Schizosaccharomyces pombe: one gene and its partners. Changing the gene in region 1 together with any one later gene gives a genetic interaction. Each region holds a gene or a part of one and is shown on either strand. Other genes may lie near its edges.

The links.
Region 2: mutations in eca39 (region 1) and SPOM_SPCC1020.07 together harm fitness less than expected from each alone (positive genetic interaction), as found in Schizosaccharomyces pombe (one large-scale study listed by BioGRID).
Region 3: mutations in eca39 (region 1) and SPOM_SPAC10F6.14C together harm fitness more than expected from each alone (negative genetic interaction), as found in Schizosaccharomyces pombe (one large-scale study listed by BioGRID).

The regions. Positions count from the first base shown.
Region 1 is NC_003423.3:442,239-445,995, forward strand, and holds eca39 (branched chain amino acid aminotransferase Eca39), read right to left. Parts: upstream 1,699-3,757; 5' UTR 1,677-1,698; coding exon 393-1,676; 3' UTR 106-392; downstream 1-105. Other genes in the region: thiamine-repressible acid phosphatase Pho4, read right to left, coding at 3,179-3,757. UniProt on the Schizosaccharomyces pombe protein: Catalyzes the first reaction in the catabolism of the essential branched chain amino acids leucine, isoleucine, and valine.
Region 2 is NC_003421.2:769,930-773,686, forward strand, and holds SPOM_SPCC1020.07 (pseudouridine-5'-phosphatase), read right to left. Parts: upstream 2,035-3,757; 5' UTR 1,797-2,034; coding exon 1,764-1,796; exon of another isoform or gene 1,593-1,763; coding exon 1,550-1,592; exon of another isoform or gene 1,485-1,549; coding exon 1,422-1,484; intron 1,365-1,421; coding exon 793-1,364; 3' UTR 346-792; downstream 1-345. Other genes in the region: wybutosine biosynthesis protein Tyw1, read right to left, coding at 1-123; tal1 (transaldolase), read left to right, coding at 3,569-3,757.
Region 3 is NC_003424.3:1,232,439-1,236,195, forward strand, and holds the start of SPOM_SPAC10F6.14C (ABC1 kinase family protein), read right to left. Parts: upstream 1,604-3,757; 5' UTR 1,486-1,603; coding exon 1-1,485. Other genes in the region: SPOM_SPAC10F6.15 (uncharacterized protein), read left to right, coding at 3,229-3,757.

The DNA of each region.
Region 1 (3,757 bases):
TCGAGCCCAATCAATTACTTTTCTCTCATTTACCATGTAGCTTAGATAATTTTATTTACTATTACATTTTTACACTTTACTAGCCTAAATGAATAATAAACGATGTGTATTGAATAAATTTAATATATCTGTAGAATAACACTAATTGATGTTTACGCTAGTATTGAACAATTCATAAATACTCCGATTGATTTACAAATTTATATACAAGAAGACTATCCTTCTGTAATGTTATCAATAAAAGAATTGAAAAGGAAAAGTAACACGAATCAGAGAAACCAACAAAGATAAAAGGGATTAACCCTCGAAAGGTCTATATGTAATAATTATGGACACCTAATATCATAAATGTCTAAAGACAGACATAGTTAGGTATTTTTTGAGAATTAAATTTAAGGCAAAGCAGGAACGCTCCAAGGGTTGTTAGGTTCCTTGCCGTATTGGATATCCAAAATCCATTTGCTGATTTCAGAAGTGATGGGACCAGCTTCCTGACCCTCAGGCATGGGAATTTCATACTCAGTACCCTTGTAGTTAATAGCCTTGACGGGGGAAACAAGGGCAGCAGTACCAGCTCCAAAGACTTCCAAAAGGCGACCTTCCTTAGAAGCTTGAGCAACCTCTTTCATGGAATACTTGCCCTCAGTAATCTTCCAGCCTTTAGGTGCGAGACGTTCACGGCAAATTTCCAAAATAGAATCACGAGTGACACCAGGTAAGATCATACCGTCAAGAGGGGCAGTAATGATTTCTTTTTCGCCATTCTTGTTAATCCAAACAGTAAAGCAGTTCATAGTACCAACCTCAGTAATGTAGTCCTCGTCTCCATAAAGCCAGAGAATCTGAGCATACCCCTTCTTGGCAGCCTCTTTTTGAGGCAAAACACTAGGAGCATAGTTACCACCAAGCTTGTAGTGACCAGTACCGCCAGGCCAAGCACGAACGGATTCTTCGGAGCAACAAAGCTTAACGGCCTTGAAACCAGAGCTGTAGTAGGGGCCAACGGGAGAGGCAATAACATAAAGCATAGCGTTGTCACAATGGTGGACACCTAAGGCTTCATCAGTACCAATGAAAGTAGGACGAATGTACAAAGAGTAACCACGCTGATCAGGGACCCAACGGTTTTCGTGAGCGACGAACTTTCTGATAATTTCAGCAAGCTCAGCAGGGTCGAAGGAAGGAAGAGATATACGAGTACCAGTTGAAAGCATACGCTCAGCATTCTTGATGGGACGGAAAAGACGTGGGACACCCTTTTCGTCACGGAAAGCTTTCATGCCTTCAAAGCACTCAAAACCATAATGGAAAACGGAGGAAGCAGGGTGAAAGCAAAGTTTACCAAATGGAACGATCTCAGGAGTACTCCAACCCTTTTCTCTGTTCCATTTCATAATAAGCATATGATCAGTAAAATTCTCACCAAACTTCAAACTCTTCCATTCGGGCAAAGGTTTAAGCTCCTTAACATTAGTAACTTTTATATGGGAGCTATCCATGGGCTTTGGGCCATGGAGAGCAGCAGTTTGAACCATGGTACGAAGTTGTGTAGTGTTGAGGAAATTTTTACAAGCCTCAGAGCTTTGTTGAGAATAACCTACAGAGCCACGTTGAAGGGCAAAGCGAATATTTCTGCCTTTTATATTGCCCGCTCTCCTCAAAAACATTAAACTCATTTTTTCTTCTTCTTCGCCTGATACCGAAAAAGTTGGGGCTAGGTAAAATAAATAATAGCGTCTATCCAAACGGATCTAGAGACGGCCGAGATTAGATAGCTGATTGGTAACAACTACAGGGTGCTAAATGGACAAGTAGGTTTGTTAAAGAACCGAGATCAATAGTGATAAAGACTGACCACGTGGCCACCTTTAATCCTGAGTACCATTGGCATAGCTTTAGTAGTAATAGCATAAAGAAATTAGTTTGAACTCATAAAGGAAGCTAATTTATCGACATCAATTTTTATAATTATGATTTTGACACTCAAATTATTAAACCGATGTTGGAAATAAGCGATCATCGCCTAAAACGTATGTCAATTTTTTCCCTTTTTATATTGCGACAGGTGTAAATGAATTTTGAAGAAAATGAAAGGTTAGAAGGAATATTTTAGAAAACTAGGTTTCTTAACATTCTCGAAAAATGTTGGACATTTAGAACGCAGTTGAGATACATGTTTAAAAACTCTCTCAAAAGTTGCAAATGGCCTATTCTTTTAGCAATAAAAAAGCATTCGTTAAAACACTAGGAGTAGGAGTATAGATTTTCCCGTGCAATTTAATGAAGATTCATAGGTTTGAGATACGGTTATTTGGTAAAGTTGTGGGCAAAGAATATAGATTCTTACACATGCGGTAATCAGATGAGTTTGAAAATGCGCTGTTTGGTGTGATTACCATGTTTAATTATTGAAGATTTAATGCTTTGGTAATTCCGGATAGCTGGTTTTTCGCGAAAATGTTTGAAATCGGTGATTTTGGATAGTATCTTAAAAAATAAGAAAATTGTCAGAAGAAGCACCTTCTTACGCGAAGCCTTAGTTTTATCATTTGGAACATCTCATGGCAATGTTCATTTTGATTTATAGAGCTACAGATATTAAAGGGTTTAAAAAAAGGGATTGATTGATTCTTTTATCCGTGTAATGGAAAAGGAGGACTAGGGATTTTTTTTTTGGCAAATTACATGACTTTCAAATATTTTAAATGAATTCTATTAAACTTTTGTGTCGTTCGTGTGTGGTAAAAGGTGAGTTGTTGACGCCAAAAGGAATCGTTAATGTACGCGTTATATCTTGAGAAATGTTTAAGATTTATCCCGACCTATTAATATTAATGATTTGGAAAGGAATTACAAAAGCTACGGAGTCACTTGAAAGGCTTTGAAGTAAGTCGAATTGAAGAATTAGCTTCACCTAAAGGCGGTACGAGTGAAGGTTATAGATTTCGTACTAGGCATTTAAAACTATAAGTATTTCCTTTTTTGTTCAAACACTGACACAACTCGTTTATACTATGTCTCGTAAGTCTTTCTTGAATATATAAATGCTCACTTTCTGTTCGCTCTACTTTTCCTCCTTAATACCTAAGTCTTATACATAAGCTATTACTATAGTTAAAAATTATCTATATTATTCCTAAGGACCCAATTGTGTTAACAATAATATAAGATGCTAAGTCTAGTAGTAGACGGTAACGTTGGTGGAATGCGCCTGACATTGCGAGTTAAAATTAGCAATACCATTAGAGGTAGAATTAACACGAACCGAAGAATTCAAGTAAGCGCTCAACTCGCATAACCCATCTGAAGCACCACTAGGACCATAACCGCAATCAGTAAGGGGGTATACTTGCTGGTTGACGAGATGGCGTACATAGTATTTATTATCAGAACATAAGAAAAGTTCAGTAATTAAGTTTCCTGCGAAGGGAACGAACGAAGAGGTTTTTAATGAGTATGTAAAAATGTTTTTGTCAGTCGGTAGAGGGTGCTCAGGAGTAATGTCGGGGAAAAACCCAAGAGCAGCCTCGACTGGAATAATTTGAGAGTCGTGGGTAAACGCTAAGAATACCTTACGATCGGAAGCATTATTCACACCCTTACGAAGATTATTTGCAAGGTTATTAACATAAGCCCCACCTAATGTGGAAGCCCATTCTGAAGCGGGACCACCCCAATATGCGTAGTCAAGGTCACTGTCATATTCAAAATTCAAAAATTCAGAGGGAGTAAAGAGTGAACAGAAATCGCTGTTATC
Region 2 (3,757 bases), on another chromosome or scaffold:
ATTGGACAATTGGGTTTTTCGTCGAATCAGAAAATGGATCAGTACAGGCAGCAGCAAGACTATGTACAATACAGCCCGGTATTCTTCCCAATGCTCCCCGATGTACCCCAAAGAATACCCCATGGCAATGATTTACCACTGGAATTTAGCAAAGAAATAGTATCCTTGGTGGTTGGAAAAAGGATTCTTTGAGGTGTGGCATATGGAAAAGACACAGGCAAATTTCACCAATAAGCGCCAACAGAACTAAGTCCAGCTAGAGAGTACTAAAATGAAGGATGAACTTTTAAATTAATTTAAAATTTTTACTTATTTGTTTATTTTATGATTAATTTTACCTTATTAATATATAAGTGCTTTCATCTAAATGATGGAGTGCTGGCCAAAAAGGTACTTTTTGTAAAAGTCAACATTCTTGAAAATCAAACTATAAGAAAAGCAATATCTCTTAAAATACCTCATGTGTAGTAACATTTAGAAAAATTGCTAGATAGCTAGTGTTAGACGTAGTGAAAATGATACTTGGAGATGAGACACTTTCAAACGATTGAAGAAAGAATCAAGGATGAGGGCTTTGTAATGATTGTTATTTGTGAAAAGTATTCAAAAAAGATTTGGAATGTTTGATGAGAGTTCATTTTTAAAGATTTTACGACATGGGAATATATCAGTAAAACGAAGAATAAAAAGTAAATAATGCAGCTAGCATGCTGCGTCTTAAATAAAGAGCAAAAAAAAAGATATAAAGCAAAAGCGATAAATGAAGAAAGTAAGAGAAAGAAACCAATTCAACTATACCTTTGTAACATCGAAATTCTCCAAGCTTAGCACCTTTGTTATATGCTTGTCCGCAGCTTGTTCTGGAGAAAGAGAAAAAAAGGGAAGAATATTGACATCAGGAACCCACACAACTTTCATGCCTGCCGCCCGGCCTGATTGAACTCCTGTAATGGAATCTTCAAAAACCAAGCAGTTCTCTGGCAGGATTTCTGCCTGGCCTTGAGCCTTGCGCTTGTCGTTGATCATCTTCAAAGCGATGAACCAAATATCTGGGTGAGGTTTGCCTCTACCGACGGGTAATCGAGGGTCATCTCCAGTGATAATGTTTCCATCAAAATGATCAAACAAATGACTCAAATGAGCGGACTTCTTTTCAAAGTTGTGTGTGTCACTGGAAGTGGCTAGTGCTATAGGAATGTTTAGTGATTTCAACTTACTTAACAAATTCATAACGCCAGGTAAAGGCTTTGTATGCCTCCATAGTTCAGCTTGAGTTTCACGTTGTAATGCTATGTATTCTTCGCAGGTCAAATCAATACCCGACCAATCCAAAAAGATTCTGCTGGCCTCCTTTGAAGTTCGGCCTAAAGCATGAATGATTAGAAGGTTGAAAAAAACAACAACAGCTCAAAGCCACTTACCCATCATCTTAGCCTTGACTTCCATGGAGAAGGGGCCTTTGTTATAGCGCTTTAAAATGATATCTAGACGCACCGTTAGCCTAACCAATACCTTTGAACAGAAAGGGAAAAGGAAGAGTAAAACTTACTAGTGCTTTTTGTGTAGATTGACTCTGTATCGACCAACAAGCCCTGTATTCGTTAGATAGAAGGACACTTTATCGCTTTTCAAGTAGTATGCTTTAAGGAATCATCAGGCTAAGCACTTTTAAGTAGAATGAAAAACAAATAAACGATAATAAATATTGTATTTGTTGATCATGGACGCCGTAAATGATCCATATTATTTTACTATGTACGTACGTCCATATCGAAAAGACACGCCTCAGGAATCATCTTTAAAGTAAAGTAAGGGTTTTAATAAAAAGAATGTCTTTGTTTTTCTACGATGAAGAAAGATATTGTTGAAAGGATATATACTATTCGTAACAGAATGAAACCAATTTCGATCAGTATACGGACGAAAGCAGCAATGGGAATGAGATGAATATACGATAACTTATCAAATAATTCAAGTTTAGACAATCACAGTCGTCCTTAATAAATTCTGCTAGAAGTAGTCAAACGTGGAGTTGACAAGTTGCAAGACGAGCCATTGTTTAGGCAAAGGTGAGAAATAGAATATTTGTGGCATTAGGAAAGCTTTTGGACTTGCAAATAGAATTGCTTGAAAATAATGAGTGTAAAGAGAGGTAAAGTTGGCGAATTTGTTGAGTCAGGGATTGAACTTGATTCATCTAAATGATAATGTTATGGTAAGATAAAAAGAAACTAGAAAAAAATAGAAGAAAGTTTATAAAGTGCAATGACATTGAATTTACTCGACTCTCTTCCTATTACACGACAAGCTCAGTTTATGGATGTTTATTTGTCTACAAACAATTCATTCACGTGTGACTTTGAACTTGACCGGAAACATGTTACAGAAGGTGGTTTGAAAGTAAAATTGATACGGGAATGGGTGTCTTATTGAAAAACTACAAAGCTGTACTCGATGACTATGGAATGTCATCAGGTGGATATACAGATAGCTCTTTTTAAATGTCGAGTGAGATATCGGTGGTTTATTTTGAAGAAAATTACTTAAAAAGTGATTAAAGTAATAATAAGTAATGAAAGTCAAATAAAAGGCCTTACGATTATCTGCTCGTCAACTATGGGTATACAGGTGTATCTCACACTATGCTTGAAGATTTCGCTGACGATTATATAGACAATGTCCATAAACAGGTTAAAACCAAGCCTTTTTAATTACGAACTTGACCATTTCTGAAGACTGTAGATACCTTAGAAGCTAATCTCATTTGTATTACTGTAAGAGGCAATTCGAATCGACAAGAGTGTAGGTAGAAGAGTATACCTATCCAAAGAGTATCAGATGCTTTTACCAATTTAAGAGTTTTCCATGGATATGTATTCAATTTTAGGTCCAACTATTTAACACTTGTGCGAACATCGATCATGTCCGATGCAGCAACTTGCTGCTGTCATGTCGCTCAAACCAAACAAAAGAAATGTGCCAATTAACAAAATATTTCCAATACTATACTTGTAACGTTCTAGCATTAATACATACCTTAAGGCACTACTTGCAATCAGCCCAGTCATGTCAATCTCTTCAATATCTTGTTCGGGATCCCGCTTGCGACCAGCGCATTATTTTTCTTAGATTACTGACATTATATATTTCAATTTGGAACAAAAAAACAATCTGATTTCGACCATTTTTTAAAATTTTTCTTTTTCATAAATTTTTTCGACTTTTCCTATACTTTCGATGGTGAAGAATGCATTGAGCACAGTCTGCAGCTTCCATTTTTTTCTTCTGAAATTTTATAGTAAAATCGAAAGTTTTTCATCTGCTTAAGCAATCAATTAAATCTAGACAAACATTGCTAAGTTCTCCGCAAATTCAAAGAAACTTTGGCTGACGTACCTAAAATGCTTAAGTGGAAGTTTCCACGCTACACACAACTTAACCAGAACCTATATCCTTAGGAACACCAAGAAACTCAGAAAAGGTATGTTTGTAGTGTTTTTTAGGAAAAACGAAGTTATTTGTCTGGAAAAAGTATTTACTAACGAGTTTTTGAGGTAGTTTTATCAAAATGTCTTCATTGGAACAATTAAAGGCCACTGGCACTGTTGTCGTCTCCGATACTGGAGATTTTGAATCGATCGCCAAATACAAACCCCAAGATGCCACCACAAACCCTTCTCTCATCTTGGCCGCTTCTAAGAAGCCCCAATATGCTGCTCTCGTCGACGCTGCTGTTGACTATGCCAAGGCAAAGGGT
Region 3 (3,757 bases), on another chromosome or scaffold:
GTATTTATCAGCAACCTTGGCCATAACAGCTATACTATTCACTGGATACCCAAAATTTTGGTTATTTTTTTGAATAAGCATTAAGCAGCGACCTAGCATTAACAGCTCTTTCGGTAAACGAGTGCAGTCCTGTAAGAAGCCAATGAACTTTTTGCGTTCAGCAAGCTGCTGTTGGAAGGCCTCTTTCTTTGAAATAATTTTTTCACCAGTGTGAGGTTGCTCTTCATCCATTGGAATATTTAACATGCGGTTAGCAAAAAGCTCAGGTTGTCCAATCCCCCAAGCATCCATTACCTGAAGAATAGATTTTTTGTCTAATGAATAGGCTGCAGTGAAAAGCAAGGCAAATTCTTTTCTAAACTTTTCTGATTCAAATACATATAACCCATGATCCAAAATTACCGTTTGACACAAGCCTGCTTGATTTTTTCGAACAAGGATATTTCCAGGATGTGGATCACAATGAACTTGTTTCGAATGAAACATTTGGAAGGCAAGGAATCTGAAAAGGTTCGTTAAAATTTCCTTTTTGCTCATCCCAGCTTCAGAAAGAGCAGTTTGATCATAGAGGGGAATGCCATCAGCCCATTCAGTAACCATTACTCGCTTTCCAGAAATCTCTTTATAAACCTTTGGTATATATATCTTATCTCTTAAATAATCAGTTTCTTCTACCCCTTCACGAGCATGTTCCGAATTGTTAGCTTCAGTTGTAAAATCAACCTCAGAACGTAATCTTTCCGAGACATAATCAACCGTAAAGTAGAGAGGGATATGAAATATCCATTTATCATAAACATACATCATGTATTTGTACACGAGAAGATCCCACGACATTTGCTTAGCAACATCTGGTTTTTGAATTTTTACCGCGACCTTTTCACCGCTAGGTAAAACAGCACGATGTACCTGCGCAATACTGGCACTTGCAGCAGCACGTTTCTCAATGCTGGCAAATACTTCCTCTACTGGTCTTCCATATTGCTCTTTGAATATGTCTTGAAGTTCTTCCCATTCAACTTGAGGTGCATTGTCAAACATTCCCTGAAAGGCTTTCCCATACGCTTCAGGCAAATTATTTGATTGCATAGCAATGATTTGACCCATCTTGATGTATAAACCGCCATTTTTGTAAATCGTTTTAAACAGTCTCTGTGCTACTCTTTGGTGCAAAGCATCAATTTTGTCTGCCTTTTTTTCGCTGAAATTCAACTTATAGTCAGCCGCAATTATAGAAGCGGTGTATACTGTTCTAATACTACGGGTAAGTGCATGGGCATTATACACTCGATCCCAAGCGTAGACACCTATTCCAGCAGCACCAACAAATACGAACCTCTTCATCCATTTACGTTTGTTACCAGGAACTCCATGATTTTGCAATGCTTGACTGTTATAACGTACATCAGCATATGTCTTTGATCGCTTAATGAAGCGACTGGTAGTTTTCTGCAGTAGAGAAATTGTTCTCCACGAAGTCAACATCTCTACGGGATGAAGGCTTTGAAGAAGACGAATTTGAGCAGAAGTAAACTAAGTTCAACACTTTGGATTCAAGGAAGGTAGTAAAGGGACTATCATAAATAGATCAAGTTGGCGCTGTGTCCTTTCAACATTCTCAACTTTCTGACCTAAGGCAGCCATTGAAATGCATTCTCCCATTTAGCGTATCATACTTTTGATAAATTAACTGAAGATAACGTCGCCAGTATACTATTATTTTAGACATTATATTACACAATTCATAAATAATGATATTCAGTGTAGTCGTTATGAATGAGGGATTCTGTCAATAACTTTTTTATTACAAGGTGATATGCTACTACAGCTCCGATAACACTTAAGAACATTGCTCATTGATATACTGAAAGTATTAAATGCTATGTCGGTCAATTGCTCGTCGAAGAATCGCAGAGCAACAGATCTATTCAATCCAAAAACAGGTTAGGGTTATAAACAGTCACGTAAATAGTCAGTAATATATATACCACTGTTTCCACTTTAATTTTTCCAAATGATACCTTTGAGCTCGAACGATCGTGGTTGAAGCAGTCATACAGGAATTTTTATTCCTCTAAACAGCTTTAGGGAAAGTCCCCGGACTCTTGCGTCTTGATCTCCATGGAGATTGGGACAGGCGGTAACGTGCTGACTTGAAGAATCAGCGGTTTCATTAATGGCGCTAGTTTTTCCTTTAGCCTTTGTACTTTAAACCTCAAGAGATATAACTCCTTGTCCAGAATGGAGTAGATAAGGAATACAGTCTATGAGTTGTGTTTCTTGAGCGTCTAGTGTACGAACGGTATGGTTGATTACGCCATTTCTGAATTGTGGTTTTTCGTCGTAGTTGATAGTTATACGGTCGCATCCATTTGTTGATGTATCACAATGGGGCTTAGTCTCGTGCTCAAAGGTTTTTTTCCTTAAAGAAAAAGGTTTGAAAATTTGGTTTACTCTGTCGGAGTGCTTGTTCGAATCAAGCCAGACCTACTTTTAGTTAGCATATTATTAAATGTAGCTTTTCCCAAAATATGATGATCGACAAATACAAAGAGTCAAGCACTGAAACGCGATAGCGTCTTGTTGAGTTATTTGGTCTGATTTTGGTATTCATATAAGTTTTTTGTTTCTAGAGCTGTTTTACGTTATTTAATGAATTATGTTTTCTTGTAATGAATTATAGGTGCTATGTAGCGTGATATCAAGTTTTGCTTTTTCTTATTGAAAGTGTTAAGGTACGTTGGCATAGGCTCGTTAAAAACGAATGTTTGGGGTTCAGATATGTTATCCATGCATTAAATTTTCAGAGATAAGTCAAGCAAAAGAACTGCAAATTTAGCCGCCATCAATGTTTTACTAATTGCGGTAGTAACAGTTTGGTTTAGTGATGGAAATAGCATAGGTAGCATAATAACATAAGTCGCAGTAGCTCAGCTGTGTTATTGTTTACATTACTTGGTTGCGAATTTTTGGCATCATTTATTGTTTGCGGGCTTTTTTCCTTCAAAATTAGATTGCTCGTAATCTCTTGACGATGGGATTTTATGATTTACCTCTCTCATTACTAATTTGATTTAATCCTACAACGCAGCATTTTTACTTTTTTTGCCAGCTGGTTCAAGCTGGATCTTTTGGCATATTGTAAAGTGCTTAATTTCTGTTGAGGTTTCCCTATAACTATAATTTCTGATACTTGTTAGTGTTATGCAAACATAGTTATTATTTTCCATGAACTATAATGCAAATGTTGTCAAGTTTCATTCAACAATACTTCACAAATTCGCTCTGAAAATATCGAAATTTCTAATTTTATGCATGCGTCGAAATAAGCGCCAATTGGCTTGTATGAAATGCCAATGTGAAAATCCAATGGCTGCGATTACATATGCAGATATTGAATATCCTCACAATACGCATTTTCTACTTTTAGACTCAATTTCGTGGATACCGTGTACATGTAAAATTCTCAAGTTAAAAGAATTCGAGCTGCCAGATCGCTTTGACATTCCAAATTTGTTTTATGATGGTTGGTTATCTTATGTTTTCCATACGTTTAGTGGTGTCTATTTGAAAATTGGTTATGAAATGGATGAGAGCGGGTTTTGCCTTCCTGATCAGGTTTATCACTTGATCGATAATCATTCTTGTATACAGACAGCAGTTTCGCATCTACTTCGAAATCATCAAGCTCTATTTAAATATTTGTGCGACTATCTACGTTCGGGCGAATTTCCATTAACTGTTTTGATTCATCATG